Caenorhabditis elegans: one gene and its partners. The protein of the gene in region 3 interacts with the protein of the main gene of each other region in a biochemical or structural test. Each region holds a gene or a part of one and is shown on either strand. Other genes may lie near its edges. The genes, in order: flp-32, flp-11, dmsr-7 and flp-25.

Evidence for each region.
Region 1: the proteins of dmsr-7 (region 3) and flp-32 interact in a test that uses a peptide from one of them, tested with the Caenorhabditis elegans proteins (one large-scale study listed by BioGRID).
Region 2: the proteins of dmsr-7 (region 3) and flp-11 interact in a test that uses a peptide from one of them, tested with the Caenorhabditis elegans proteins (one large-scale study listed by BioGRID).
Region 4: the proteins of dmsr-7 (region 3) and flp-25 interact in a test that uses a peptide from one of them, tested with the Caenorhabditis elegans proteins (one large-scale study listed by BioGRID).

The regions. Positions count from the first base shown.
Region 1 is NC_003284.9:15,430,679-15,437,449, forward strand, and holds flp-32 (FMRF-Like Peptide), read left to right. Parts: upstream 1-3,108; 5' UTR 3,109-3,119; coding exon 3,120-3,190; intron 3,191-3,346; exon of another isoform or gene 3,347-3,543; intron 3,544-3,847; coding exon 3,848-3,936; intron 3,937-4,039; coding exon 4,040-4,125; 3' UTR 4,126-4,294; downstream 4,295-6,771. Other genes in the region: blos-8 (BLOC-1-related complex subunit 7), read right to left, coding at 84-148, 202-264, 327-437; mocs-1 (Molybdenum cofactor sulfurase), read right to left, coding at 5,006-5,095, 5,235-5,342, 5,405-5,520, 6,456-6,628, 6,677-6,771.
Region 2 is NC_003284.9:4,674,952-4,680,963, forward strand, and holds flp-11 (SPLDEEDFAPESPLQ-amide), read right to left. Parts: upstream 3,172-6,012; 5' UTR 3,116-3,171; coding exon 3,036-3,115; intron 2,981-3,035; coding exon 2,814-2,980; coding exon of another isoform or gene 2,800-2,813; exon of another isoform or gene 2,745-2,799; coding exon 2,659-2,744; coding exon of another isoform or gene 2,603-2,658; 3' UTR 2,383-2,602; downstream 1-2,382. Other genes in the region: tmem-135 (Transmembrane protein 135 homolog), read left to right, coding at 1-133, 186-312, 359-510, 712-862, 905-1,072, 1,558-1,698, 1,903-2,069, 2,114-2,246. UniProt on the Caenorhabditis elegans protein: FMRFamides and FMRFamide-like peptides are neuropeptides. Induces sleep-like quiescence behavior following release from RIS interneuron. Helps to sustain locomotion stop after gamma-aminobutyric acid (GABA) induces fast slowing response.
Region 3 is NC_003283.11:5,402,656-5,410,936, forward strand, and holds dmsr-7 (G-protein coupled receptors family 1 profile domain-containing protein), read left to right. Parts: upstream 1-2,697; 5' UTR 2,698-2,714; coding exon 2,715-2,800; intron 2,801-2,867; coding exon 2,868-3,080; intron 3,081-3,935; coding exon 3,936-4,079; intron 4,080-4,275; coding exon 4,276-4,534; intron 4,535-4,582; coding exon 4,583-4,713; intron 4,714-4,761; coding exon 4,762-4,887; intron 4,888-5,098; coding exon 5,099-5,239; intron 5,240-5,303; coding exon 5,304-5,378; intron 5,379-5,428; coding exon 5,429-5,543; 3' UTR 5,544-5,731; downstream 5,732-8,281. Other genes in the region: C25A6.1 (Serine/threonine-protein phosphatase), read left to right, coding at 5,873-6,196, 6,580-6,708, 6,779-6,854, 6,901-6,974, 7,020-7,160, 7,211-7,288, 7,336-7,416.
Region 4 is NC_003281.10:9,357,984-9,367,037, reverse strand, and holds flp-25 (FMRF-Like Peptide), read right to left. Parts: upstream 5,511-9,054; 5' UTR 5,372-5,510; intron 2,971-5,371; 5' UTR 2,964-2,970; coding exon 2,762-2,963; intron 1,951-2,761; coding exon 1,862-1,950; 3' UTR 1,658-1,861; downstream 1-1,657. Other genes in the region: K04H4.5 (uncharacterized protein), read right to left, coding at 5,771-5,908, 5,958-6,025, 6,072-6,540, 6,587-6,667.

The DNA of each region.
Region 1 (6,771 bases), on a different chromosome or scaffold from region 3:
TTATTTGATAAATATTAAACCAAAAATACCAAAAACGACACTCCGTCTAAATTTTTTTCAAGTATGGTTTTTTGAAAACTCACCCTTTTTCCATATCCTCAGCATTTTTGGTTACCCCGTCTACCATCTGTTCGATTTCTCGCAGAAGCTAAAAAAGGGCTTACAATTATTTTATTTAAACTTAAATTTGAAATATCTTACCTTATCCGTATTGTCTATAACTTGTTCCACATGACTAAACTGTTTTGCACTTGTGAGAAGGGTCTGGAAAATAAATAAAAATGATCGCAGTTGTTAAACACTAAAATGTTTTGAAAATCACTTACCTCCGACGCTTGAGAGCTGCTCATCGGAATCGAAAGCAAAGCTGAACCATCTGTGATGATTTCTAGAATTTTTTGAGGCAGTTTTGTTTTACTCTCCAGAGAAATGCTCATTTTGAGTTTGAATTTGTAGAGGCCTGCAGGAATCGATAATGTGCGAAGGGGGACATAGTGGTGAGGGGAGGGTGAGAGAGTGTGGAGGAGTAGAGAAAAAGAGAAGTGTAACGATGGTGCATCTTTAGACCAAAATCATAAAAGGCAAGTAACGATATTAAAATATATGATCCCGTTTGTCTACTATTGCATTTTGTATCTTGGTTCTCTCTGATTTTATCGAAAAATTGTTAATTAACAAAATATGTGCAAAATATTTTCTTTTACATTTTGATGTTGGAACATTTTTTGGAAAATTTTAGACGACCGAGATATAACCTGCTAAAGTAGAAAAATGGAGGTACAAGTTGTATAGGAAAATTACGGTTATGGAAATATAACTAGAAATTTTTATTCTCATTTAAAATTCAAAGAGCTTACATATAAACAAAGTAACATGAAAAAGCAAAGAACATGGCAAAACAATCATGAGAATGAGGTTTTAATGCTTGCAAGGAGAACCCGTAAATATACATTCTACCCTATATATTTTCCCATAGTTACATTCTCACAAATAGCGGGTTTCCCAACAAGATACCGAATTTTTCTAATTAGTAGTAGTGCATGCAATAGTATATTTCAATTGATATTTTTGACCCTAATAACAGATTTTTTTGTCGGTTTTCTAATTTAAAAATCGTAATAATAAAACATATTCCCCCCCCCCCCCCCCAATATATAAGAACTATCGTTCCAAAATGAACTACTCCCATAAGCTGTTCTCATGGTGGTTTTTTTTAATCAAGAAGATTAACGCAAAAATATAGTCTTCTTCCAAATGATTGTCAAAACATTTAAGGCTCGATCAAACGTCTTATACCAATAAATATTCATATAAAATTATTCCTAAATGAATAAACCCCTATGATTTTGGTAAAACCGCAAATTGAAAATTCTCATTACTTTTTGAACCTACCCAGAACTTGGAAAAATCACTGAGATGATTCATGTTTTTGTTTGCTTTTATCAAATATGTATAGAAATCCTCTAACCTTGGTTATGTGCTCTTGAGAGAATCTAGGATTTTTTTGCCTGCAAGCTTCTGGTTTTTGGAACACAAATGATATTCTTTTTTGCGAAAAGTTCACTGTTTGTCAGGCGTTCTTCACTTACTTAATTTATTTTTTCAAATAATTTCATAATTTAATAAATGTTGGAATGGAATGCGAGTATTTCTCAATTTTGTTGTGCTTTTTTGTTCCTGATCATAAAATTCTACGGAAATAAAATTGGAACGGTTGTTGTTTTCTTCCAATTTTTGAGCGCTTGAAAGAACACAAACTATAAGTCCGAGGCGCATCACAGAGTTCAAGTTTTTAAAAAGATTTTGCATTTCAGTTTTAGACCAATTTTGCTGGTTTCCAAAATTGAATAATTAGACTTATCCAATCTGTAGTAAAATTGCATTTACGGAAAATATTACAATGCAAGGCCGTAAGTATATTTTAAAAATTGAGTACGCCTGTGGGACTTTTTCAAACATTTAGTAATTATTTATTTTTTTGACTTGCTCACAGTAACTCATGGAGGCCAAAACCGGTTGAAAAAATTTATCCATCGTAAGGATGTTCGACAAATTTCAGCAGTTTAGATCAGCAAACAAGAATGTTTGAATGAAAGTTTGTTGGACGTGCCAAGCAATGCTTAGACCTAGGTAACTTTCGTGACCATTTTTGAAGATCACCTATTTTATTTTATTCACTATAATTTCCTTTTCACATACTACTTCGAAATTCAAAGCATTATTTTTCGTGTGGACTCTGAACCGATCGAGAACATTACAGAAGCTTATAACACTTAAGTGCTCTTAAAATAATGTTGTTTACCTTGCAGAAAATTCATCGAATACCTCCCAACAAGTATACACCTGAAATGTGCTCCACAATTGTCTTGTTGCACACAAAGTTCCCCCGTTTCCAACTATCGGCAATTCGTTGTTCCTACCTCGTCATTTTGTCTTTAAATTATCGGAACAATGGAACAAAAGAATAAGTGAGAAGTGAAAAAGAGAAAGATTCGTCTTTTTTTTGCGCTGACACTGTTGAAAATGTATGAGTGGGGTGTGAGTTGGCGGCGTCGACGAACATTGCCAAGACAAAGAAACGTTGGTCTGTGTGGTTCTTTGGTAAAACATTAACTTTTTGGTTAGTAGATAGGGTTAGGTACTCAACCACACACCAAGAATGAGGAGTTTCTCCTTTGTTCACGTTCAGATTTTTGATCGGCTTCGGCTTCTTCGTCCCGCGCCGCAATTAGTAATATTCTGTTCTCGACAGCTTATCCCATCTAAAACCCGGAAAAAGTCGGGCTCATCCTCCGAGCCGGAGACTCCGACATCACTTTTTGGAAAGAAATTACGTGTTCAAATTCAGGTTTTCGAAATGTAATGCGATTGCTGCTTCATTTGTTATTCGATTATATCGTTCCGTTCTCTGGCTCAATTATGGAAGTGTCATTTTGGTAAGTAACCCTCCCAGTACTAAACACACACTGTCATCCCTACGAAAGCACGACAAAAACAGTGCGGATGACACATGTGCCAGTGGCAGCTAAAGTGGGAGGGGTCTTCGGGTTGGGCAATGGGAATCTGAAAGCAGCTCGCCGAGTGAGTGCCACGCCCCACGAAGCCTTCATTCTTACGACATGCTCTCCTTTGTGCAAACCCTTATCCTCGCTCTCCTCTGCTCCATCGTCTTCGTGGAAGCCATGCCAAGGTGAGTGGAAGTGATAGGCATTAAGCAAGGAAACTTTTTTTTCGAAATAAATTATTATAAATAGGATTGCTAGCGTGGGCACGATGTCGTTTTAATTATGATTCTTTTTGCATCAAGCAAAATCCGCGTCATGGCTATTTAGCATAACCGAACACCTATGTACCACTATATTTCCCAAGCTTTCTTAGCTACAGCAAAGTTTGAAAAATTTCAAAATTTTGAATTTTCCAGTAGTCACTTAACTACCCAGGGAGTTCAATGCCGATTTGCAAAAGACAAAAGCGTTGAGAAGTTTGAATGATTACTGACATTACAACTCACAACTTTTAGCTTTTGTGTTTCTTTGAATACTTGTTTGATATAATGTTTTGTTAAGAAATCTTGAAAGAAAAAAAAAATTAAAAATCTATGTGAAGATAAAACCGGCAATAAATCAAGGTCTCTGGCATCTATAGTTTATGAGCAACGTGCGTACTTGAGGAGAGCAAAACTAGAATCAAATCAACCTGATTGACTCGAAAAAGGAATATATTTATAGCCTATAAACAAGAACGTGTAGATTTAATAGTAGTAGTCATTTATAAAATGGTCTCTGGAGAACTTAAAGAAAAAATAAATACGTCCCCAGTGGGGGGGTACAAAGAGTTTCTTTTTCAGCATGAGACCGGCGAAAAAGGCGATGCGCAACTCGTTGGTGCGGTTTGGGAAACGAGCCGATCCAGTTGGCACCGACGATGTTTTTCTAGGTAAGTTTTGAGCATTTATCAACACTACTGCTCGCCGATCAAGTCAGCGACGTCAAAAAATTTAAAATTCAATTTCACTTATTGAGTAAACATTTTATTTCAGGAGAGTCATACGGATCTGCTGACCCGTATGAATATGTTCCGGAGCGCATGTCAAACCGGGGGCCATCATCAGTCCTGCTCTACTGAAAGCCAATGCTTTAGGGAGGGAATATTTTCGTCTAGTGATCAACTCCAAAAAGCTAACCACACCAACCGTCGTCCTCAATCGTCTTCTCTCATTTTCAAGCATTTGTGTGTGTGTTTTTTTTTTCAATTTCTTCATTCAAGATATTGTTAATAAAAGTATTCATGTGAAGTTGTATCTAATTAATGTTTGTCAAAACTTTTATAGTTCTAATTAATAAAAAAAGTCAAAATTTTCCAAGCGGCCGACAATTTCCGAGTTTAACCACTCATTAGAAAATTCTATGATTAGGTATAGTGAGTAACCAAACTCGGAAATTGTCGGCCGCCGTTAAAAACCTACCCCTCGGAAAATTTTCAAAGTTCTAAAATCCGGACGAGCGGACGCCCAATATTCCAGCCCTATTTTTGAACAAAAGCCTGGTCGGACTCGAACTAAAGATACACCACTACCACCTGAACCCTCATTTTTGGAAACAATTGTTCGTCAATGTTTTCGGATTTATTTCAAGTTGATTTTATCTATCTTCTTCAAGTTTCAGAAAATACTCTGAATTTGCTAGTTTCCAGTTATTTAGTCTAGTTAACGTTGTCATTTCAATTTTTATTTTGTTTTGTCGTTTACTCTGATTTCTTTGGAATAGTTTTTCCTGTTTTTTTTTTCTATTAACCTACACACATTTTTTTGTGATATTCCCTATTGTGCTCCTTTCTGCCAATTTTTAGTTATTTGGTTGTAAAATGTAAAATCATACATCAATTTAATATGAAAATGACGTCACTATGTTCATAGTTAGTTCCGACTTATGGCACTACGTAAAAGACAAAACATCGAATTTGAATGCTCAAGTTTGTAAGTAATTTGATTGGAAACATTTATTTACTAATCAGTGGAAAAGTTAACAGACATCCCAGACTCCAAATATTGTCCACTCTCAAAATTAGTTTGTCGAATGTAGATTCCAAATGTCATCTGAAACTTTTTCTGTTTATCCAAAATTCGCAATCTCTACAGAGTTCTGTTGTTCGACTAGATGATCTTCTTTATACTATGGTACTAGGCTCTTGTGACTTTGACCCTATCATAATTTGATCTACGCGTTGTCTCAAACCTTCTGCTTATTTCTATAATCCCGTAATGCAAGCAGCAAACTGGGATCCTTCTCGCCTGTCATCGGATCCACACATATCATTTCACATCGAGTGCATTTGTCGACAACCTAAACCGGAACAAACATAATTAGCCTGTGAGAATATATATTTTCCATGAAAAAAACTCAACCTCAAACTCAAGATTCTCAATAGACAGCCGTTTTGCGGTGTCCTCAATAAAAGGCGGAAGACCTCGCACCACTATGTTGGACCGGAATCGGGTCAGAATTTCCCGCACTTCCATGTCTGAAATGATGAATCATTCATATCAAGTGATTGTAGAGGAAGTGAAGAATAATATATGGAAATTTGTCATTGAAAGTTTGCAAATGTTATGAAGGTCACCAGTTATGAACTCAAATGTTTAACGGAAACGGGAAATTAGAATGTTTTAAAGGTGGAGTGAAGTCAAAAATTTTTTTTGCTGTAAATGACAGAAAATAGACCTTAATGACCGAATATTACTGTTAAAAAATCAAAAAAAAAGTTTCTAAATTTTTAATGATTTTTTAAATTTTTCAAAAATCGAAGAAACGGCCTAATTAATTTTGAATTCCCGCGCAAATGAGTAACGTCATTTTTGATATTTTTGCGTTTCTTGGCTAAATTCTTCTGTTTTTTTTCTGCTTTGTTCTTTTGTATTTGATTTAAAACTATGTTTGTCAGTTTTTCAAACACGAAAAAAATTATAAATAACCATTAAATGGTCGATTTTTAGGCCAACTTTGAAATTTCTTTCACGCCATTTTCTTTCAGAGTTGAATTTACGGAAAAGTGCATGAAAAAATGACAAACAAAGTTGTAAATCGAATATGGAAAAAAATTAAGAAAAACTGGTAAATTCAGCCAGAAAATGCAAAAATATCGAAAATGACGTCACTCATTTGCATGGGAATTCAAATTTAATTCGGCAGTTTTTTTTTTCAATTTTTGAAAAATTGAAAAAATCATAAAACATAAAATTAAAAAAAAAAATTCACTGTTTAATTCGGTCAACAGGGTCTATTTTCCGTCATTTAAAGCAAAAAAAATTGACTCTACTCTACCATTAATTCATATTATAAGTAGTATGCGTAGAAACATAGAATACATTAAAACTTTCAAGTAAAATACTACTGAACAACACCCTAAAACATTCAAACATGAATTTGAATTTGAAAAAATGCTGGACAACAACTCACTGATATATCTTGATAACATGTAGACACTGGCTTCGTTGATTAATAAAAATGGAGAATCGTTTACAAAGTTCTTTTTCGAATCTTCGGCTACTCTTAGCAATCGACAATTTTGTCGATCTAGTGCATTATCCAGCCATTTGCCAACTTTATCACCACAGTCCATTGTAGCAATTCTGAGTTTTCAAACTATACTCATCAACTTTCTGATTTCCAAAACCTACGTATTCTTGCAAACCAATTTAGCTCCATTGTCCTTCAAAGACAAACTCATTGGTAAAACCAAATTTTCATTCTGATCAAATGTTTGAATCAGTAG
Region 2 (6,012 bases), on a different chromosome or scaffold from region 3:
TCACAAATGTAGTTTCGAAACGCGGAAGACTAGACAAGATTAATTGGAAGAAATTCGGAATTGATGTTTGCCAAAGCTCTCTCTTCTTGGTTACCAATATGTGCTTTTTCTTAATTTTACTGTGCAAATTTAGGTAATGAATTTTTCTTCATTGCTTCATTGCTTCATTGCTTGTATATTTTCAGAAAATGGCTTGGATTTTTTACTCCAATTACAATGGGTTTGGTGTCAAGCATATTAGCATCTGGAATTGCAATTCTTGTTGAGAAAAAATCACGAAGGCCAGCCTTAGCTTTATACTTAATCAATTTGGTAGAATTTTTAATTGTGTTATTTTATTCATTCAAAAACATTTAAGGCATCGGAAACATACTACAGACATTTAGCAAATCATGGTTATGTAACAATGCACACATATGGAGAATGCATCCCATTTGGAATTGGACTCATGCTATTCACTTGGCTGCAGAGCATTGGTAGGCTCCCGAAATCTTTTAACGGATTCATGAAGTAAGTTGCAAATTCCACAATCTTTAGCCTATACACTAGTCCTCCCCCATCTTGAATTCTCGCTTTAGTTTGCTCTTCCGAATATTGAAATCGGAGCAGGACACTTGAGAATTCCTTACGGCATAATTCATCTCTTACTAAAAGATATGCCGGTGGAGATAAATCAGAATTATCCAAATCGGTCAACTTCTCTGTTTTCAGTGTCGCTTTGAAGTCAAATGTATCGGAAAATTTGATAAACGAGAAGAAAATTCCAGACAATTTTAGATTGTTTTTGGAAAAATTGAGAAGTGATTATAAGAAAACTGAACTATGCAATCATCCACATTCTTGCGTTAGCCACTCAGTAGAAGTAACATCACAGTTAAAAAAAAACATACCGCAACTTTTACAGAGTTTTGCTAAAAATATGACATTTGGATTAACAGCAAGCTCGGTGCTTACTGTAATTAGAAATGTACGAACAATTATCAAAAATCCATTGAATCTCATCACACTACTGGTATCTAAAGAAAATCTGAAACTTCCACTCTTTGCAGGCTTTTTACCATTTATTTTCAATGTAAGTTTATTGGATAGTAGAAAAAAGTAAAAAATTGTAGTCTCGAATAATTTTTCACAGGGTATTTTTAAACTTACAATACAAATTGTTGTGAAGTCGTTTTTCAGGAACAGACTAGTGTGCAACTATTAGAAAAACTGGAAAAGTTACAATTGTCTAGTTTTTTTGATAACATAAGTGGCTGAATTATGTTTAAATTGCTTTGCGAAGTGTACGATTTTTTTTTATTTTTCGGTATATTAAGTCAGTATACCGCAGTTATCAGAATTTAGAGGTGCAATATTTTTGAAGTCGGACAATTTTGCATTTATAAAAATGTTTCCTGTCAATCCCGGGTGCCGCATTTTTTTTTGCAAAATTTGCAACTTTTCGCGACTGGTTAAGAAACTAGCGACTTTAATTTCAACTAAACTTTATTTATTAAATTTTAGAATCTAGTAAATAGTTTTTTCAGTATAAATTTACTTACTCTCAAACAATTCTAGGCTACTCGATGCTCTTTAAATCGGGTTAAATACGTTCCTCCGGTGCTCAATAATGTATTTTCTGCTGGTTTGGCATCAGTTGCAATGGCCTTCTATCCCACTGTCAGTATTGCTATGTATTGTCTCTGGAAAGCAATTGAGGTATGATATTTTGCTCCTCGTTTAAATTTCCTAGCTGCAAACAGCGTAAGCTTCTAAAAATAAAGCTCTGAAACAAAGAAGATGTGAATTTTGATGAGCTGCTCGACCGGGGTGGAATCCCAAATGTGAAAGGCGGGCTTCCATGGTGATATCCTGACGACAGCGAGGTGATCAGCGCCAACTCCCTTCATGACATTTTTTCAGACGGTATATTTCGATCTAGTTGATCGAGGTTATTTGCCAAAATTCAAAAATGGAGAAGTAATTCTTTACGCAATCACGACGGGTTACGTTTTATGGAACGCTGTTGTTGAACCTAGAGCAATTCGAAGAGGATACCTCAACTTTCTTTTTGGACTTGTTGGTGGAAAGTAAGGATCTAACTAGCTGTAACAACTTGACTTTTTCATTGCAGGATCTCGCTTTTCAATCGACGTCTCTACGATCATTTTGGCTTTGTTTCTCGAGATGTTTACACGAAAATTCCAGAATTCGATCCTAAATATGCAATGATTAATCCTATGCTTTACATGCCACTTGTTGAATAGTTTTTGATCTAATATTTGAAAAAAAACAGGTGTAATATAAAAAAAATAAATTTAATTTTTAATTTGAATTTTCCGATTCAGATTTTAGAATTTAATTTTCTTTTGTTCACTATCTGAAAATGTGAAAAAAATAAACAAAGTGATTTTGCGAGTAATTAACAACGCCTTTATTGTTCATAGACAGAGCATAGAAATATCAGAAAATGTGTGTTGTTAGCTGATAAAAAACACCAAAAGAGATCTGGGGAGATAACTTTCCTTCGGAGGGAAAGGGGGGTTAAGCGACACCAATCAAATTCTAGACAGCAAGAGAGAGTATGAAAAAAGAGAGTGTGAGAGAGAAAAACATATGATTTTTAATGATGAATTCGCCTCAGGAGTTGTTCGAGCAGAAGACGGTCGTCCTCGGTCATTACTTGTTGTTGGCGAACTTGAGCTTCTGAAGAGTCGACAAAAGGTCGTGCATGTGGTCGAGTTGACCGGATCGGCCAAAGCGAACTGCAAAGCAAAATAAACGACACATGAAGCAAAGGCAAAAAGCGGAAGAAAAATTTTAAGACAACTTACCAAATGGTTGTGGGGCACCGTTCCGTTTTCCCTGGAGTGGGCTCTCTGGAGCAAAGTCTTCCTCGTCCAATGGAGACCTCTTTCCGAATCTAACGAGAGCATTTCTCATTCCACCACTAGCTCTTCCAAATCGAACCAAGGCGTTCCGCATGGCACGTTTCTCCGCACTACAATAGATTTATATGGGTAATTGATAAAAATTGTTTTAAGAAAAAACTATACCTGACGTCATCATAAGATTGAGCAAAAGAAGCGGCAACGAAGACAATAAGGAGAAGTGCCAATGCAGAGAATTGAGTCATTATTCAGTATGAACTGCAAAAAGTGAGACGAGCGGCTAGGCGCAGTCTTTTTATACCTGAAACGATGTATTAGGAGGGGGCGTTGTAGATTCCGAAGAGAAAGCAAATAGCCGCAGGACATACTTTATTACTATTTACAAATGGTTTGATGAGTTTTGAACGTTTTAATGAAAAATTTGCGAAATGGATTCTTCTCAAGGAAACTTCTTATGGAAAATAGGATGATGTCAATGGTTTCCAAAACGAAACCGAAGTGTAGGGTGTCTTTGGGCTTTTCAAAAGCAAGAAGTGAATAGATCAAATGCAGGTGTTCTGCGCTCTGAAACGTTCCACAGGCCACGCCTACTTGTGTGTGTGTGTGTGTGAGGAAACTGAGAAAAACGCAAGCAAAAAAGTCATCTTGAAAATAGCATTAAATTTCGGAAAGGAAGGAAAAGCTAGTTTTGCTTTTTTTAATAATGGAAAAAGTACTACAAAATGTGTACAATATTTTGTGAATATTTTGAGGACGCTTGTTCTAGTGTTCTTGAATTTTTAATTTAGAATTGTTATGAAGTTTTTATTCATTTCCAACAGATGCAGAGATTTTCTATACAGAAAACATTCTAATAATTATAATGTATATTTAAAAATTAAAACTTGCAAAAAAATTTCTTGAAAATTTACCAATTTGCCAAAACTTTAATTGAAAATTGTTGTAAAATTTGAAAAAGTTTGAAGTGTTTTATTAATACGTGTCTGGTTTTTTGGAAACATTTTACTTGGTCCAGCACTTTAACTGGCACTTCTCCCAATAAAAGATCGGTTTATTTCCAAAATGCGTGCCTAACTGTTATACCAAACAAATAAAGTTTTTTAAAAATCGGCAGTTGCCGCAAATTTCGCATTGTGTGCCGATGTGCCAAAATTGCCAGAATTTTTGATAATTTTTAATTTTCATCATATTTCAAAAATTAAAAATATATCAAAACTTGATTCAAAGTCATAATCAATAGGTCATTTTCTTACTGAAATACCTAATATTTTGAGGTTTATTGTTTAGCTAAATCACCAGTTCCGGCAATTGTTGGACTATAAACTTTTGGCAATATGCCGAAACTGCCGAAATTTCGACGCACTCCTGTTTACAGAAGATTGAAAAAAAGCAGAATTAGAAGTTTTAAAGTTGAGATATTGGTCAGAAAATCGATTTCATTTTTACGAAAAAAATATTCCAAAAAGTCACAATGGAAAGTTTGAAAAATGACCCGTATTTATATATTCGTGTGTCCTTGTTTGACATGAAACCTTCTTATCGTTTTTCAATCTCCCCCACTTTTGCACTTTTTTGAAAATCTTTCTTTACAAGAAGACGCACCTTGCAAAAAGTGCGCTCAAACACTGATTATGCCAAGCGAAACATGGGTGTGAAACTAGAAAAATAAATTAGATGCAAAATGGATTCGTCTATGCTTTTTCCTCAAATATTAAATGAGTTTACATCACTTGGCGCCGGGATTCGAACATCATAAATTTATGAGTTAGAAGATGCCCACGAAGGTAAGATGCGGAAATATTTGACACGTCAGCAGGTTGTTAAGTTTCGTCGTCACAGTTTTGCATCTTTTCGTATTTTAACTTATATTTTATAATCTTATATTCAATGGAGTGTGGGTGTTTGTGGGTGGAACCAGGATTGAGGATGCTAAAAGTTGTGGGGGAATTACTCTTAACAGATTGAAAAATGAAGTGCGAAAAGATATGAGGAACTCTACTGGAACTGATGGGCCATAAAACCATGAAAACCTCTCTCACCCCATTCATCAACTTTAGAGGCTCAACATTTGGAAAAAAAAGGTTTGGGCTTTTGGGATACTTGTTTTTCTTTCTCCAGATCTTTCCAACTTTGGGGAACTAGTAAGCCACAATGGTTTCATAGAACTTGATGAATAGTCAGAGGGAACAATGAAACCTACAATGAATCGAACATCAAATGAAACTTGATATGAATAAATGATAAGATCACTAGTGGAACGGAAACTGGAATTAAAGCCTAGACCAACTTACATCATCTTTTTTCATTTTTCAGTCTGAGCACAATGTTATTCCTTTTTCAAAAATTGCAACAAGAGACCAGACAAAACACTTATTGAACCTAAGGAAATGATTGAAATTTTTTTTCGGGACTGGAAACAACTAAAATTTATGAAAACAAAGAGCATCTTGGATGCTAGTTATTTTGAGATGCTAGTTATTTTGAAAATTCTAGGTTTCATTCCAAAAAAGATAATCTCATTTTCTGTTAAATTTAAAAGCTTAGATTTTTACATGTATTTCAATGGCGAGCTTTAAAATAAATTCTCCTAAAAAAAAAAAAAAAGTTGGATCCGAATTTGGCAAAACAGACTGATAATCATCATAAATTGAACAACACTTGGACCGAATGTGAGCTGCAAAAAAAGTTTGGAGCAATTTTGTGCTCACTTTAAGCTTCAGTTTTGGCAGTCTGGGATAGTTTTTCCAAGTTTTTCCCAAGCTGTACCATCTTCTGACTCTAAGAAGTGATACCAGTCTGAATATCAGAGTTCGATTTTTTACTGGACTAGAAAAGTGGTCTATGTTGTGTTGTTGCCTTGATCAGACTTACAGTTTTGTCCACACATCAAGAATTAGTGAGGGAAGAAATATAGGAGTTCAACTGTGATAAAAATCTTATGAAAACCGTTTTTTAAAACAACGCTGCACAAAAATCCTTCAAAAAAACAAAGTCATTGTATTCAAACTTATGAAACACGGTTTTTGGGTTTCTCCAAAATGTGCAGCTCGACCCAGGCCCACTCACATCATCTGGTGTGTTTTATCGGCCGATAGGTCTTTTGAAATGACGTGGAGATCCCGAAAACATTTGTTTTATTTCC
Region 3 (8,281 bases):
ACGGGGGAGCCAGTTGGCTGTGCCAGTATGATGAAAATTAATTCGAAGATCCCGCAATGTTGTTGCGAATCGAATTGAATTTTTGTCGAATTTTCGAGACCCTCTGATAACGGATAGTACTTGGTTTTTTTTTCTGAATTTCTTTGCATTTTGTTTTCATTCATATTCAGAATTCCATTTCAAAAAGCAGGATATCTAGACTCCTAGGTATCAAACAATTAAATTGCCAAAAATTATGAATACCCCTAAATGCATTTTGCAGCAGAATTTTTACTTTTAACGCTAAAAAACCTGGAAAGTTTAGGTATTTTCGTGGCTGACGGAATACAAAGAAAAACAAAATATGCCAAGGTTAAACTTTTAAGTTTAATTTTCAAAATATAGTTAAGTTTGAACACTCCTGAAATTCCAGCAATCGTCAGTTTCGGCGATTTCGGAATATGAAGAATTCTAGTGACACATTTGAACAAATGTTTTTGAACACTAGAGAAATTATTGGCAGGGCTTGTCCAATTTGCTTACCTGCCTGCCCAATATAAGTTTCTTGGCATTTCACTGTAAAAGCGGTGTTTCATTGGGTTCAGGGTAGGCATAGGTCGCCTTGAAGGCAGGCATTTTACCTTTTTAATGTAAAATTTTTCGGAGAAACTTTCTCTTGATCTTTATAGCATGAGTGTGCTTTTGAAATTTTTTGAAATTTTTGCAATTTCAATTTCTTTCAATTTCCCGAAAAATCCAAGCTAAATCTAAAAGTTTGAAAAACAAGCAATCTGTGAAAAACACATCTGGAACTTTATTCAATAATCTTTCTTTTTCTTCACCCCAATTGTTTTTTGTTTCGTTCTAGGCCTGTTTGTATCTTTGTATGATAGCAAAAGTCAGAGCCACTGTAACTAAATAATGTGCTCAAACTGAAAAAAAACGGAGGCATTCCAAGCAGCCGCCTGAATCATTCTATCCGGGAGTCTGCACAGCCATCTGAAAGATTAGTCTAGAATTGAGCATTAGGAAACTTGTGGAGGAGCCAGAAGGAACCAAGAAAGGCTCCTCTTCATTGCCCAAAGTTTTGTTGTGATTTGTGCATCCCAATTCTCTCCTCTCACTATTCCTACCCCTCCTTCTAGTCCTTCTTTTTTTTTCCTCCTTTTTGCTCGTCACTTTGAAAATAATGCAGTCTCGTCACTGCTTTTCAAGCACTAGAAGCTGCTTGAACTGCAAATTGAATTTGAGGAGAAGCTTCGCCATTTTGTTTCGAGTAAAAAAGACAATGAACACGTTACGTGCGCAATCCACCATTGGTAGCGCCTCTCCTTCCTCCAGTTTTTGCCCCTTTTCAGCTTTTTTCCTGCATTTTTCTCATTTCTCCCCCAATTAGGCTCTCTGCATTTTAAGGTGTTAGAGAATTAGCTAGGTCACTCTTTTGATTTCTTGAAACAAAGATGAAATGTTCAGTGGTCAATAGTCAATAGGCACATCACTTCAATTCCCAAGGGACTTGAGCTTTCTTTCTTCCCCTTTTGACTGCGCCTGCGCCCCTAAACTTTTTTTTTCCACGTTTTCCTTATTCATAAGTCGTGAGAATATTCGATTTTCCGATTCATCTTCTCTGGAAGATGAATTCATTAACTTTGAATGCCACATTTCTGTCTCGAAATCCATTCTGTTTCAAATGTTTCGGTGTGTGTGAAGCAGCACCACACAACAAACATTTTCACAAGATGGCCCCCTGATTTTATATGTTTTATGGTGGCATGAAATACCAAAGTTTAAAACTTTTATACTTAACTAATAAGTTTCTGTTCTAGGTAGGACTAACATGGTAGGCAGGCGCATAAAATTTGAAAGCAATAAATTTGAATTTCGATTAATTTGATGAAAAGCAGGTGGACCTAACTTTGAAGTCCGGCAGGTAGGCAGTCGTTTGGCGCCTACCTAGAAGCCCTAGATCTAGGTTACATGTTCACAAGAAACAGAAAGTTGAGCGAAAGATTAAACATTCACGAACGAGTGTGCTTCACAATTATAATCATCGCAATTATAAAACTGCTGAAAAATATGCTTACTATGTTTTAAAAGACTAGTCTTGCCAAGATAAGTTGGCAGGCATGCCTACATGCCTACCAATTATTTTGTGCATTTTCAAGATCTGCTGAAATCGAAAAAAATTATTTTAAAATGTTTTAAACCCAAATAATAAATATTTTGATAAATATGGCTCTCTTTTACGGTTTCGAGTGTCATTTTTTTTTAAACATGCAAAATTTACAAAAGAATTTACGCGTTTTTTGCAATTTTTCGCTCACTTTGTTTTCGAAAACAAACAAATCTACCGCCCTGGCCGGCAAAAAAATAGGTTTTTTGGTTTTTTTTACTCTAGGAAATAGTTTTTAAAAAATAAAAATCTTCAATCAAAGATTTTTACAATTTTTCAAAGTATTTTCCTGCTATAGAAATAACAACTCACGGAACAAAAATAACTTCCGGCCAGTGACCTATAATTTTGTAAATTTTTTGAAAAACGAAATTATATATTTTGTTCGAAAACTCGATCAGCTTCTTCCACAACAACCGACTGTCATCTAAAAGTTCAAAAAACACAGAACGCATTCCACCCTGTTGCTCTTGGCTTCTTCTGATTTTCTCCTTATGTTTCTTTGTTTCAATGGTCTTTAAAAACCCCTTAAATTTTCAACATTTTGAAGGATGTGCTAGATATGGAATGTCCGCACGATGCTCAGTTGTTTGATCCGAACAGTAACAGTACGCAGGCATTTCTTCGGAAACTTGCACATTTTCAAAGGTTTGTTAAACTATTTTTTGTGCACTTCTTTCAAAAAAAGAAAAATGAACCAATGATTAATTGTCAGATGGTACCAGCCAATTCACGGATATGTATGTGTGCTCATCTGCGTTTTTGGTATCTTCACCAATTTTGTGCATGTGGCAGTTTTATCGAGACCCAACATGCGCAATTCGGCCGTCAACTGCATACTGACAGCAGTGGCTGTCTGTGATATCGGAACAATGGCATCCTATCTCATTTATATTATACATTTTGTCTTACGACGAAATAATTCCTGGTAATTCTTGTGTGTTTATTGGGTGGAAATGTTTTTGTTTTGGGAAATGGAGCGGCGTGGCGGCTTTTGAGTAGGAACATCAACAAATATGGAATTTTTGGAAAAATAACACAAGCTTTAAAATATTTATTTTCTGGTTTTTCCTATTCCAATTTTATGGTGAATTGCAAAACCCGGAAAATGTCGGTCACTTCATAAAAAGGATGTAGAGTTCGAAGGCGCTGATTGGTTTAAAAATAGTCATGGCTTCTCATTTTGGAAAAATTCAAATATGAAAATTCGCAATTTCAAAAATTGGACATTTTTAAATCTTTCTCGATTTTTTAAGTTTCCTTTTTTTTTGATTATGCAGCATATATTTGAATATTTCGAATACTTTGAAACAAAATCCTTATTTTCCAAACTCTACCTCAAACCATTAATAACAAGAATTCAAACTAAGTGTGCTCTTTCTATTGAAAATTTTGAAGGATATTTATATTCTTCTATTTTTCCACTCAAGTATCAACACACACACACAAAAAAACATCCTCAAAGTAATAATGGAATTTCAAAAGTTGAATGCCCATGTTCGTCACTTGCTGCACTTAATTGAAGAGGCATAGAATTTTAGTTGAACCTGGAACTATTTATTTCCTCCTATCCGTTTTATGTGCATCAAAACATGAAAACAACTGCATATTTTATTGATCATAGGAAATTTTGAAAATCGTCACAAAGCTACAAACTACGTGTATTCATAAATAACAAAAGTGAATTCAAGATGAAAAGTCGCTCGTAAAATGATACTGAAAAACACGAAAACAAGCGTTTGCAATGAAACTCAATAATTTTTATTATTAGATTTTATTACAGCACTCCAACGTTCACTCATTCTTGGTTACAATTCCTATTGTGGCATGTTGTTTTGAGCATCACACTACACACAACTTCTTTATGGCTCGCTGTGGCGATGGCGTTCATTCGGAGGATGACATTAAGGGTTACCGCTTTGAATAGGTATGCTGGGAGCAAAGTTTAAGGGACTAACATTTTTTTATACACTAAGATGAACAAGTTTTGTAATGAAAGTTTTCAAAATTTTTTTCAAACAATGGTAGGTATCCAAAAATATTTAAAATTGAAATTTTACAAAGACATTGCAAGCAATATACCCAGAAACGTTGGCCCCCTTAAAAAATCTGGAAATTTTCAGTCAATGGCAACGACCAAAGTTCGCATGGAAGTTGTGCCTGGGAATCTATATGGTCGTATTTGTACTTTGTATTCCAAATATGCTGGTCCACGAAATCGCCCGTGTAGAAGGAAATGACTGGCGACCTGGCAAAACGTGTCAAAAATTTGCATCGAACTACTCTGAACCGGTGTACACTTTTATGGTCAGCCACGCGGCGACTATCAACAATTGCCGGTTGTTTAAATGGAATATTTGGATGATTGGAATTCTGTTCAAGGTTAGCGAGTACGCGAGTTATCAAATTAAACGTCCTACCAGTTTTCAGATCATTCCATGTATTCTGCTAATTTTCTTGTCTTTCGGCCTTGTATCAAAGATTAGAGACGCAGAAAAGCATCGGAGGAAACTAACGAGTGTTCCGTCAAATGCATCAACAGATTCAAAACCATTGAAAAAGTATAGTCAACTCTCAAAGAACTTTTATGACAAAATGGAAATTTTCAGAAAGAATGGAACATCAGATAGAACCACATTGATGCTTGTTGTTATTTTATTGGTATTTTTAATAACGGAGTTTCCACAAGGAATCATCTCGATTCTTTGCGCAATTTTTACTACAGACGTTCATAGGTAAGATTTGATGTTTAACTAGAAATTTGGCCTGGAAAAACTGAAATCGAACTGCCCCAAGCTTGACCCAATTTTTCTTGAGTCATTTGAATTTTTGGAAATTTGGGTGCAGGCTGAGTCTTGCAAAAGTGTTGCTAAATTTTTGTTGGCCCAATTAAAGCTAAAATTGGGCGCTAAAGAAGTTTTCGAAAAATTAAATTTTCCATTTCAGATACCTCTATTTCTACATTGGTGATGTTCTTGATCTCCTATCGCTTGTCAATTCCTCTGTAAATTTTGTTTTATATTGTGTGATGTCTTCAAGATACCGGCAGACGTTTTGGGAAGTTATCATTCCTTCGTGGGCTTGTGGGTAAGTTCATTCTTATTGAACCAGTTCCTGTTACAGTAGTCTAAAATAAAATTTTTCCTCTCAGATTGTGGACGACCCGTCGTGGTTCTCCGACGGAACTTTCACAGCTTCAGTTGAACAACAGCTTACGACTAGGAAGGTCAGTTAATTTGTTTTTGAAGTCTGGAAAATATTATCTTTAATTTGCAGAAAACAAAGCTATACGCCACTGGCAACTGAACCGGAACCAGCACGCAATGAGTATTGGCGGTATGAAGCTTCCGTGTCGGACAATCAGAACAGCAGTAGAGAACATCAACTTTAAATTCCAATTTTTTCGATCTCGGTACAAATTCCCTTTGCAGATTTTTTGTGATATCTTGCTCATTTTCATAGCTTTCGCATTTTCTATTCTATTCTTGTTACGGGTACTTTTTGTTTTTTATTAATTCAGTTTTTATATAAATCAATATGGTTTACAAAATTATTAAATTATTCACGGCGCCGTGAAAAAAAAATTGTTTACAAAAAGACACGTAGATGTGAGTAAAACTAGGAAAAAAAATTATTTTCAATTGAAAGTGATTTCCGAAAGGTGAGTTCTCTTTTTCTCTTCCAGGAATCAAAAGTTAAAAAGGTTTGATGTTTTAGATTATGAAAGACGACGTCGTTGACAACATAATAATTGATGTCCTGAGCGCTAGTACTCACGAAAAGCTACTTTCCGAAGTGATCACGGAAGGACGAGTTCTAAAGCTTCTCGATTTGGCACTGGATGTATTTAAAAGACAGAAATCAATGGTTGAAATGAATGCTCCGATAAAGGTGTGCGGTGACATCCATGGACAATTCCCGGATCTTCTTCGTCTCTTCCATCGTGGTGGATGGCCGCCGACTGCGAATTATTTATTCCTTGGTGACTATGTGGACCGTGGAAGATTTAGCATTGAAACCATTGTTCTTCTTCTCGCTTATAAGGTTTGTTGCTTTAAGTTTTGCAAAAAGAAGCTAGGATCAAAAATTGTGACGCGCCAGAATTAATCATTGACACAAAGAATGCCAAAACAGGGGATTTTTGCAGAGACCGCTTAGATTTTCCAAAATAAGCGTACACATGTGATAAATAAATGTGTTTTCAAAAAGAAACATATTTATTGTCCATCACATATTGCTCTGCAAAAAAGTGCGCATCTCTCAAGTATCAAAGTGACAGAAAGTTGATGCTGCTCCGATGAGCTGTCAAATTTGAAAAATGACGTCAACTGGAGTGATGGATCTTTTGGACGTTTATTTCTCTCTCCCGATCTTCCAAATCCCATGGCGTGAACTTCTTTGAAACATTTTTCAAGTCATGATTCCAGGTGAAATTCCCGGGCAATTTATTCTTGTTGCGTGGAAACCATGAGTGCGAGTTTGTCAACAAGGTATATGGATTCTATGAAGAGTGTCAGAAACGCTATCAAAGTGTTCGCATGTTCACGGCTTTCCAGGTAAATTTGATTTTTTACCAAAATTGAACAATAAGGTGCAATATTAATACAGGAAAAACGGTACTTTCAGGACGTATTCAATTGGCTTCCACTCTGCGGACTCATTGCTAATAAGATCTTGTGCATGCACGGAGGACTATCGCCTAGTATGTCAAAGGATTTCACTTTGGACAACCTGAGAAAAATTAATAGGCCATGACGGCAAGGAGAGACTGGTAGCTGATCTTTTGTGGGCCGATCCTATTAGTGGTCTTTCTGGGTTTATGGTAACTTTCTGATAAGAAAAGATCGATTTCATCAACTTTATTCAGGAAAACAACCGAGGTGCCGGGTGTGGATTCGGAAGAGATGCTGTTCTGAAAGTGTGCTCCGATTTTAAGCTTGACCTGATCTGTCGTGCCCATCAAGTTGTTCAAGACGGTTATGAGTTCTTTGCTGGTCGGAAATTGGTGGTATGAGTAAAAAAAAAGTGCCGAGAGAAAGGAACATTAAAAATTTTTAGACAATCTTCTCGGCTCCTCATTACTGTGGTCAATTCGACAACTGTGCTGCCTTCATGTCTTGCGACGAGAAGCTTCAGGTAAAAATTTTTAATTGAAATGTTGTAATAAATGTGCATTCTTACAGTGCTCGTTCGAAATTCTCCGTCCAACGAGTGGCCGCCTTGAAGTTCGCGAGAAACCATTGCTCAAGGATGAAACAAACTGATGGATGGCTGATTCATAATTTCCTTCAATAAATGAATAGACAAATAAATGTGGTTTTGATATTATTTGTAAAATAATAATTTAATGTTTAAAAGTAATATTTGAAATTTGGCCAACAACCTGCCCAGCCAGCTTGACAAACAACGACACCTTTCCGGTAGAAATTTTCACCAACTTCCCGTCTTTTTTGAGAGAAATATTGCAGTGGAGATCTTAACAGTGGTGATCCCAACAGTTATCCCAAAACTAGAATACCACAACACTTTAAATTTTTAACTGATTTTTCAATCTTACCAGTCTATGTTTTGATCTTTTTATCCAAAAAATTGAATTTATTAATATTTTGAGAGACCTCAATTAGTTATATTGGCTTCAGATCCTACATTTTTCAATCATCGTGACTAGCTGAAATTTCTAATTCGGATAGTCCAGCCAAGGCAAGACGGGTGTCATATGTTAGACTTTTAATCATACAGTCACGCTTGTTATTATATCATCCCACGTGGCATCTAGTCAGTCACACTACTATTAGTCACTCTACTTACTCTTATAATTTTTTCAAAAAAGCCTACGAAAATCTTTAAAATCTGAACAATCTGAGTACATCCGTACCAAAACTGTATCCCAAAGTAACTTTTTAACGAAACACGTGTTTGTCTCTAGGTATGCGTTGGGAACAAAAAAGGTACATACTTATCTTTGATTCGTCTCTCTAGCAATTGGGGGGGGGGGGGGGACAGGCCTTCAGCAGGCAGCATCCGTCAAATTGCGTGATAATTGAATTAGACAATGACCACGTGTGGGAAGAGGACAAATGAGTGTATGTCTTCGTCGTCGTCGTCATCAAGTTATAAGATCAACCCTCC
Region 4 (9,054 bases), on a different chromosome or scaffold from region 3:
AACTAGATTTTAAGATAGACAAAGCCTTTTCCTGTTCTTTTGAAAATGATAAATGGTCTCAGTCGTCGCCGAGAATGAAAAAGAAAATAAATTTCAATAAAATGTTTTATGAACATTGCCAGTGCTCAAAGTTCCGATATATTCCTCATAAATGAAAATACCAGACACAATTATTTTCTTGAATTATATTTCAAGCACAGTTTCTTAAACAAATCACAATAAAAAATTAAAGTTACAGTTAAATAATGAGGCTCCCTGAACACTCGAAAATTCAGTACGACAAACTTAAAAAATTGAAATATTAGATAAATGACAGATGACCAGTACCAACTCAATCAATACTGCTGACGTGGCAGCTGAACAGACACCCATTCAATAAATAACCTTTTATTGTAACCGCTGTTTGGTTAGATGATCTTATCTTTTTCTTGTCTAGTAACACCTTCTATAATTCCCATATATTCCTTATCATTTCTCGGACATCGTGACTGATGTCGTCATCAAACTGTGCTCCGAAGAGCATACAAGAATGATGTTTGCTGCGAAGAAGACATGTTAACTACAAATGAATCACTTTCTGATCTCGTTTGAAAAATTCAAGACTACTAAAAGTCGGTTTGACTCCAAAAAAAAGGCATTTTTATTAATCAATCTTTGAAATAGAGACAATGAGTTCAAAAAGGCTTTATATTAATCTTAAAAATTGCCAAAAAAAATCAAGTTTCAGTTTAAAAATTCCATTAGTATTTTGTGCAGCGACTTGATAGTGAGTTGTAAAGCTCAAAACAAAACATATTTCACAGTAAAAAAAAGTGTTGCATATCTGAAGAGACTTGAAATTTTTTTAAACTGAAATTCAGTGCAATCAAGCAGTTTTGCAGATTCATTTTATGAAAAGTTGTTTCAATATTTTGACATTGTCTAAAAAATTTAATTCTATTGCAACTGATCATTTATATTTCCCGTTCAATCCCACATTGTACTTCCCTTTCCTATTATATCAAACATTATTTCATCCAAACATCCAAAACCGCCTTCGATCGATTTTCTGAAAAGTGGAACAGCTGAAAATCTCTTCGTCATGACTTTGTTCAATTCCACCTGCTTCTCCTTCTCATTTCTCTCACCTACAGTAGTCAATAGAATTCAGTAGCATTGGGAACAAAACTCAGATATTCTTAGTCAATGTCGTAAAGGTCATTAATTTTTTAAATAATTTTTAATTAATGAAAAATGAAACTTGAGTAACTTGAGTATAACAAAACTTTGATGAAACCTGGGCGTTGCCGAACTAGAAGGTTCTGAGGGTTCCACAGGAAGTTTGAAATTTAAACGAGATATTTGTAATTTGAAAGCTTTTAATTGTGAATTTTAAGCTGCAAAATTTCCGAGCTGAGCTTGCGGTGAGCTTCCAAAGATTCTGCATAAGCGGTACACTTTTGGTATTTCATGCCAAAACATATCATTTTTGTGATTTTTTTGAAATATTTCTGAAAAAATAAGAGGAAAGTCTTGCCCAACGTTTTCGATCTTGAGCAAGAAGTTGATGCAAAAAGCAAAGCTTTCAAGCACTTTTTGCCATAAAAAATTATGTTCATCCAGGAAATACAATCAACAACGTTTTGCAAAAACAAATAAAACTAAAAATTGCAAGGTTAACGTGTCAAGGCCGGTTTATTATTGGAAGCAATCAGCACACAACATGATTCATAAATATATCGTGGTGTATCACATAAATGACAATTATTATTCAGATGGAATTAAAGAAGTAAATAATGAAAATAAATGAGATGTTGTTCTAGTTTTTTGGTGAAAAGTGGAATGTCTATGAAGGCGCCGCGTGAATATGGATGAATTGAGATCATTTCCGACCGAAACGGATGTAGTCGTACGATGCCTTCTTGATTGGAGCAGCTCTTCCAAATCGAACAAAATCATAATCTCGTTTCACTGGAAAACACTTTTTGGTTTGATAGACTTGAAAATAGAATTGTTAGGGTTATTACTCGTAAATGAATATTAATTTGATTTACCTGGGACATTGACATATCTTGATTGGACATTGCGCGAAAATAAGGAAATTGGGGGAAAATAGGATTCAGCTTGGAATAATATGTTAGATCAAAAAATTTGAGGGGTTTTGAGAAATTATTTGATAATTTGTTTTTCCAACTTTTGGCTTTTATGAATTTTAACCTTTTTGGTTTTAACGACTACATTAGCTCACCAAAAACAATTTTTACGTAGATTTCTATTAAATTAAGTTTCGATTCAAAGTGATTAGATTTTCCAGCTCTATGCAATCTTTGAGTCCTTAGAAAAGTTTCATTCATCAAGCTAATACGGAAAGATTTTTCTCAAATGACAGCTGGCAACGGATCTTAAAGTTCCAATATTTTGGCTGAGTTTTTAAGAGAAAATTAATAATTTCAAAATACTACACCACTTCAACATCTCATTATCTCCTGCCATTGGTTTTATTAAAACTTGTTCAACTTTAAAAAAATATTGTGCAATTGTTGACATTCATTTCACTGTTGATAAGTTTCTTAATAAGTCTTCAAAAAAACTTAGAAAATAGATGTCCAGACGGGTGCTAAAGTTTAAGGTTCTTTGGATAAATTGTTCTTATCTCTTAGAACTGACCAATTTTTTAGAGGCAATTACCATACTAACACTAATTCAATAACCATTGTCTCTCACCAAAAAAGTAGAAGGACGGAGAAAAGTCTCCCCCCGTATGGAAACAAAATACACTCACTTTTGAACTGTGACGAAGGTCTGGCAAGAAGATTGGAAAGACGAGTCGACTCATAGAGCTCCGGAGGGAGCACCAGTCCCAAGTCGACGGCTGCCGAACCATCTTCCTGACAATCAATGGAGCACTCCTTTTTTGCTTCGGTGGTGGCGCAGAGCAACACAAGGAATGCGACCAGAAGATAGATCATCGAGTTGTGAGACATTTGGCCACTGGAAAATTTAAAGATTTTAAAGAATTAGGAAAGTTATTTATATTGATTAATAAGGATCGGAAGAATTTCCTAGCTCACAGCTTTATGAAACCAACTATCACAGAAAAAATGTCTAACTATAAGTAAATAAGCTATGAAAATAGTATAGAATAAAAGGAAAATCAATCTAATCGTGTAAGGAGATTACTGTAGATAATTCAAATTTTATTGGATTTATATTATAGGCGGTGGTGAAAACTGAAAAACAATAGATTACTACGTCAAGTGAATTGGGTCAAACAGCTAGAGCTCCTTATATTTTATATCACAAGCTTCCAGGACTCCGCCTACCTTTTTTGATTGAATTCGTTAACCAGCGTCTCTCACTGACTATACACTCTCTAAGAAGTTTTCAGATGTCGGAGGTGACGTGGAATTGGAAGGATCTAAGGTAGGAAAAACTAAAAATATATATGGAAATGAAGGAAAAAAGCACTGTAAATCAAAATATATTTAATGTTTCTAAAGATTTTTTGCGCTGAAAATGACGGTAGGAATGTGATATGAGCTATGATTTACGAATGCTCATAAAGTTTTGGAATTTTGGGAATTGAAATAAAATTTTGCAAGCTTACACTTCTAGGGCTTCCAAATTGCCTGCATGATTTCAAACAAAGTATGTTCGGATACGGAAGTACACTAGGATTAACATTAGGTAGATTAAACAGCATCATTTGTGAGGGCGGTCCAGAAATTCCAAAATGATGGGAATAACGGGAGTGGGCGGTAATGTGGGCAAGTATTTGAAAACTAGGCAAGTATTTGAAAACTTATTTTTTTACAGATTTCCAGAATTTTTTCTTTAAAAATTATAAAAAAAACTCCGGAATGTTCGGCTACCGTAAAACACTTCTATAAATAAAAATTCTACAAAACTGCACTGATAAAGAATACTGGGCTCAAAATGATTTTTAAAAATGCACTGAAACAATTTAAAATCCAAATTTTAGGTGTTAGGAGTTTGGTAATGTCGCTCAAATATCTCATTTCAAGATCGGGTGTGAACATAGTTTCCTTTTCAGAAATTACTAACCAAAAAATTCTAGACATTTGTTTTGTAATTAATTTTTTGAGTAGCCGTTGAAAAACAATCTAAAGCTATTTATTTTCTGGTCTGATTTGGTTGACATTAGTTATTAGAAAAATTTAAGATTGAGGAAGTTGAATTCATAATGAAAATTTTTCAAACTTGAAAAGTATGTCGAATTCTTTGCAAAATGTTTTCATCCAAAACCGCGAAACATATGTTTTCACATGCTGCTTTTTGTTTTATCCCAAAACAAAACAGTTGAACTTTTATTTTTCAAAAAGGGCTCACGAAAAGGAAAAATGTTAGAGTAACAAAAAATTAATTATTACATATTTTCTTTTAAATTTGTGTTGTAATTTCATTCAATTAAATTTCTTACAGTTTTATAGGCGTTTTCTGGAGAGTCTGGCGGGCGTTAGCACAATTTTTAGAAAAAGTTTTCACAAGTTGGGTGCAGATTTTTGACTCCAAAATGTCACATTTAGTTTCAGAAACTTCAATCTTCACCGCCTCCAGAATTTGTATAACACATGTCAATGATTTCATATTTTCTTTGCATTATTCCGACAACTTTTGACAGCAAAAAGACACTACAAACAGCTGAAAATTGAAGAAATGCAACCAAGTAATCGTCATTTTCTGTAGGATGTTTAAACTTGAATAATGGGGGTAGAAAACTTGAAAATTAAAAAAAAAGGAAAAAAGAGAAAAATGAATGGGAAGAAGTAAAGGGGAAGACCTAATTTGTTTAGCTATTTCTCCTCGAACTTTGTGCTCATTTCTGCTGTTATGAGTTGAAACTTATGAATATTTTTCATGAACTGACAAATTGCTACGTGAGTTCTGCTAAAAAATGAATAAGATGTACTCGAATAAGTCAAGTTATTCTACAAATTTTCTGCAAAATTTATGGACTTTGAATTTTTGGGTTCATTCTGTGTAGCCACGGTTTTTCGCGATGTGCGTAGAAGATCCGATCCTTGCCGCTAGGAACAAGAGTGGAGCTAGCCAGAATCAGATGCGGTCACTCAACCATGGTCCCAAGCTATTTTGCGAGAGTCAACAACGACACGGTGCCAGCCTGCAAGAAGTGTGGCGATGTCACAGGGAATGTGGAACACATGCTGAGATGTTCTATCCAACCCCCGCTCACTCCGTCTAAACTGTGGACGGATCCGAAAAAGGTGGCAGAGGCACTGGGCCTCCCCACCAGAATTTTCGATCCAGGCGGATCTCAATGATCCAAGGACCTCCACGGTTCCACCGTGGTGCTTTTGCACCACTACTACTACTACTATGTGCGTAGAACGCCTCAATCAGCACAATATACCCAAAACACAATTGATGGCCGGGCACGATGTGCCTAAAGTTGTCGGTGGCGGGCCGTTTACAATGCCATTGCTGCGAGATTCCTGATTGACAAGTTGCCAATTATCTGTGAACAAAAAGGAGAGATATTCGGAGTCAATTTTCCATTGTTACCATTAAGAAATGTCCAAAGAACTTTGAAGATCCGATTTTATCTTGAAAAATTGAACATTTCTTGAAAAAGTACCTATTTTTAATGAAAAACAGTACGATTTTTGAAAACACTACTAATGTTCTTCTGACATCCGCTTTCTTCTCAACTTTTTGAGAGTGGGTCTCGGATAAAGTGGCTGAAAAGAAATACAAAAATTCTTCATTTCATATCGACAGATTTTGAGATTCATTTCACATTGGGAAACACCTAATTGAGCTCCGGCATTGCGTATTGCGATTCAATTGATTTGGTGACTGGACGGAAAGCACTCAATCCTTTGTACTTGCTCTCGGAGTGGCGATCATACGTGCTTGTGATCGGAAGGCAGCCAAAAGCTGGACCAAGCTGAAAAAAACGAGTTTAAAACTTTATTTTTTGAACTGAAAAAATTTACCGTAGCGGTAAGGCAGGAGGATTCAGAGGCAATTGTAGAAGTAACATCCGATGCAGTGTATGAAATCACTGTAATTGATAACTTTTTGTATTCTGCATAGTTATAAAAACATACAGCTTTCCAGTCCGGTCTTTTTTGGGCTATTCACTTTATTCGGGTCCTCATTTTCCATCAACACGTATTGAGACTTTTCGTGTGCTCCATTAATTTTGAAAACGTTCTCAGTAGCTTCAATCGATGTCATTTTAGGAAGCTGGAAGTTGCTCATTTTTTGAACGTCATCGTTAAAATTCTGTGGCGGCGGAGAGAAACCCGGGACGTAGTACTCAAAGTTCATTGAATCCACCGGTGCGATGGCTTCCACTTCTTTCTTATCTCCCTCCAAATTAGCATCAGACTTTTCGTAAGCATAGAAAGATTTGTCTGCTTGTTCGGCTGCAATGATCTTCTCCTTCTGAGCTGCACGAAGCTGAGCACGGTAGATTGGTGGAATGTCGTCAGACTCCAAACCACAGTAATCCGAAACAAGTGGCTCTTTGATGTTAACATCAATCACAGATGCGAGCTCTTGGAGATTTTCAAGCTAAAAATTAGGACTTTTTGGCAATCCATTGAATTACCTAGCCTACCGGTGGAAGATCGTTACTCTCAGTCATCCCAAACATTTGAGTAGCTTCAGGCTCCAAATAAAAACTTTCAACGTATCCCATTGCTTCGAACTGAAAAGAGAATGAATCATCGATTCTCTAAATTAGAACTCACTTGAACAGAAATTGTCCGCTGTAACGAAATGGCAAAGTAAAATCGGGAATAAATTTAAAACAGTGAGAAACGCTCATTTATACTCGAATGGGCATTTTCACGTAGTTACGTGGCAATACCGTGTAACACGAAAAATTAATAATAATAATTAGCAGAAATTAATATTTGGAAAATGAGACTTCTATTTAGATCCAGCCGTTTGTGAATTCGTTCCGTCTGTGCACGTTTTTCAGCTGGTCTGATTGAATTATCAGGATGTTTTCTTCTGTACTGTGGGTTTTAGCACCTTCTAAACATTTGTAAATTTGGAAATTGATTTTAGAATTGATAAGTTTAAAATAATTTTGACATTTTCAAATTTTTTTCCGAAATTGATGCAGTAATAAAAGCACATTGCACGCCCATGCAAAAGAACCTTCCATTTTTAGAACTTTCGAACCTTTTTCCAGGAGAAGCCCACTCAGAGCATTAGGGACGCTTTGCAAACTTTCCGCTAGTTGTCAAACTCGAATGATAAAGACAAATCAGAGAGGAAACTGAGAAACAAAGACAAAAAGCGAGGGAAACCGCGCAATTGATAAGCACAGGAGCGCGGCGGTACTGCAGCAGCTTTTCGTGACCTCTTCAGAGATGACTGTGTTCGTGTCGCTTATCACTCTCCGGCTTTTGGGTATGGACAGACGGTAAAGACAGAAAAGAAGAGAAGCCATGTGTTATGTGCCTTGACTAGACTCCCGCTAGAAAAAACTGGTGGAGATACTTTTAGATCAAACGCAAATAAAAGTGGCCGGCAAATGTCTATTAATATAATAATATTTGTTATGGAGAACTCAAACATATAATCAAGTTTCTGATAAGAAGATCGCGAACAAATGAAAAAAAAAACGTTGAGGATCAGAGTGCAAAAAGTGGCAAAGTGAAATATAGATAATTGGGTCCAAAGTTACAGGAAGTTGTAAAATGTTTCAAATGGGTTGTTTATTAGTCTGTTCAACATGTGACCGGGAAGTAGATTTTAAACAAAAGTTGAACGACGAGTCTCCAAATCTGGACGTTCAGCGGTTTAAAAATATGTTTAGGATTAGGCTTAGCTTAAGCTTGGGCTTAGTCTTAGTCTTAGGCTTACTCGCAAAAATAAGTCGCACACTGCCGTGGAAACTTTTATAAATGATATTTAAAAAAATCAAAAACCTAGATGATCAAATCATTGAGATCAAATCACAAACATTTATAAATATCTTAATCTCTGCTCATTCGCATAATAAATTGTATAAAACGGTTGAGGAAATCAGCATTTGACATTTTCAGATTGTAATACTCATTTTCAGTATGACAAAACATTGAAAAACCAGGTGGATTTTGTTTGAAGTATGGCATTTCAGTCACTCATGACTCAAAGTGACGAGCTCCTGCAAAAGTTGAACTTTGTGGAGCACATCTGGAAGATTCTGGAATAAATAGTTTCGCAATGTTTCACAAAAGTGTCCCTTCGGATTTCATCATAATCATAGTCTATTCAAGAGAATTTACCAAATCCTTGCTCGCCCGGTAGGGGTCATTTAGTGTGGTGGGATCTCCCTCCTTTGCGAGCCAGTATTTGAGTGTGTACTTTTTCAAGTGGACGACAAGTGACGGAGAGTGCGTTGGTCAGTTTGCCACGACCTTTGTACAAGCTTCGCAAAACAATCTCGAAAAGACAGACAGTATGTATGAGAGAGATTCTTCTTGTTTCTATCTCTCTCTCTCCCTCTTCCTAGGTTCTCACAAATAGAAATGCGCTTGAAGCTGGCTCTGCTGGAGACAGTGAAGCACACTGATTTGCATGCCAAACATATGATAAGAAAATAAGAGAGAGGGGCGAGAGCCGAATTCGGTCAGGTCAAGAACAAAGAGCGCGCGCAAATTTTATAGCATAAGTGGGAGAAGACTCAAACAATATCTATCACATTGTTCTTATAGTGAAGTGTCCGAAATTGGAAAACTACAAAAAACATGTATTGTCGATAAATTTACCTCAACACTTTCTATTCTATATTTTACTAAAATCTTTTGCAAAAAAAAACCTTTACAATGTTAGAGAAAAAATCTGTAGATATATTTCTCATATCTTAATAAATCTGACCCCCACCCTCCATTCCTTTCCCTATGATAAGTTTGATGTTTGACTACTGATTTGCACTTTATCGTGACCAACCGGCACTGTATCAGAAAAACAGCAAAAAAGTGAGCGCGTTCGCTTTGTCTACGAGCATCCTAAAAACAATGATCATTTGAGATTGAACACATTTCGATGTGACTGTGGAGTCGCTCAGTTTCTAGTAAAGCTTCCATGAAG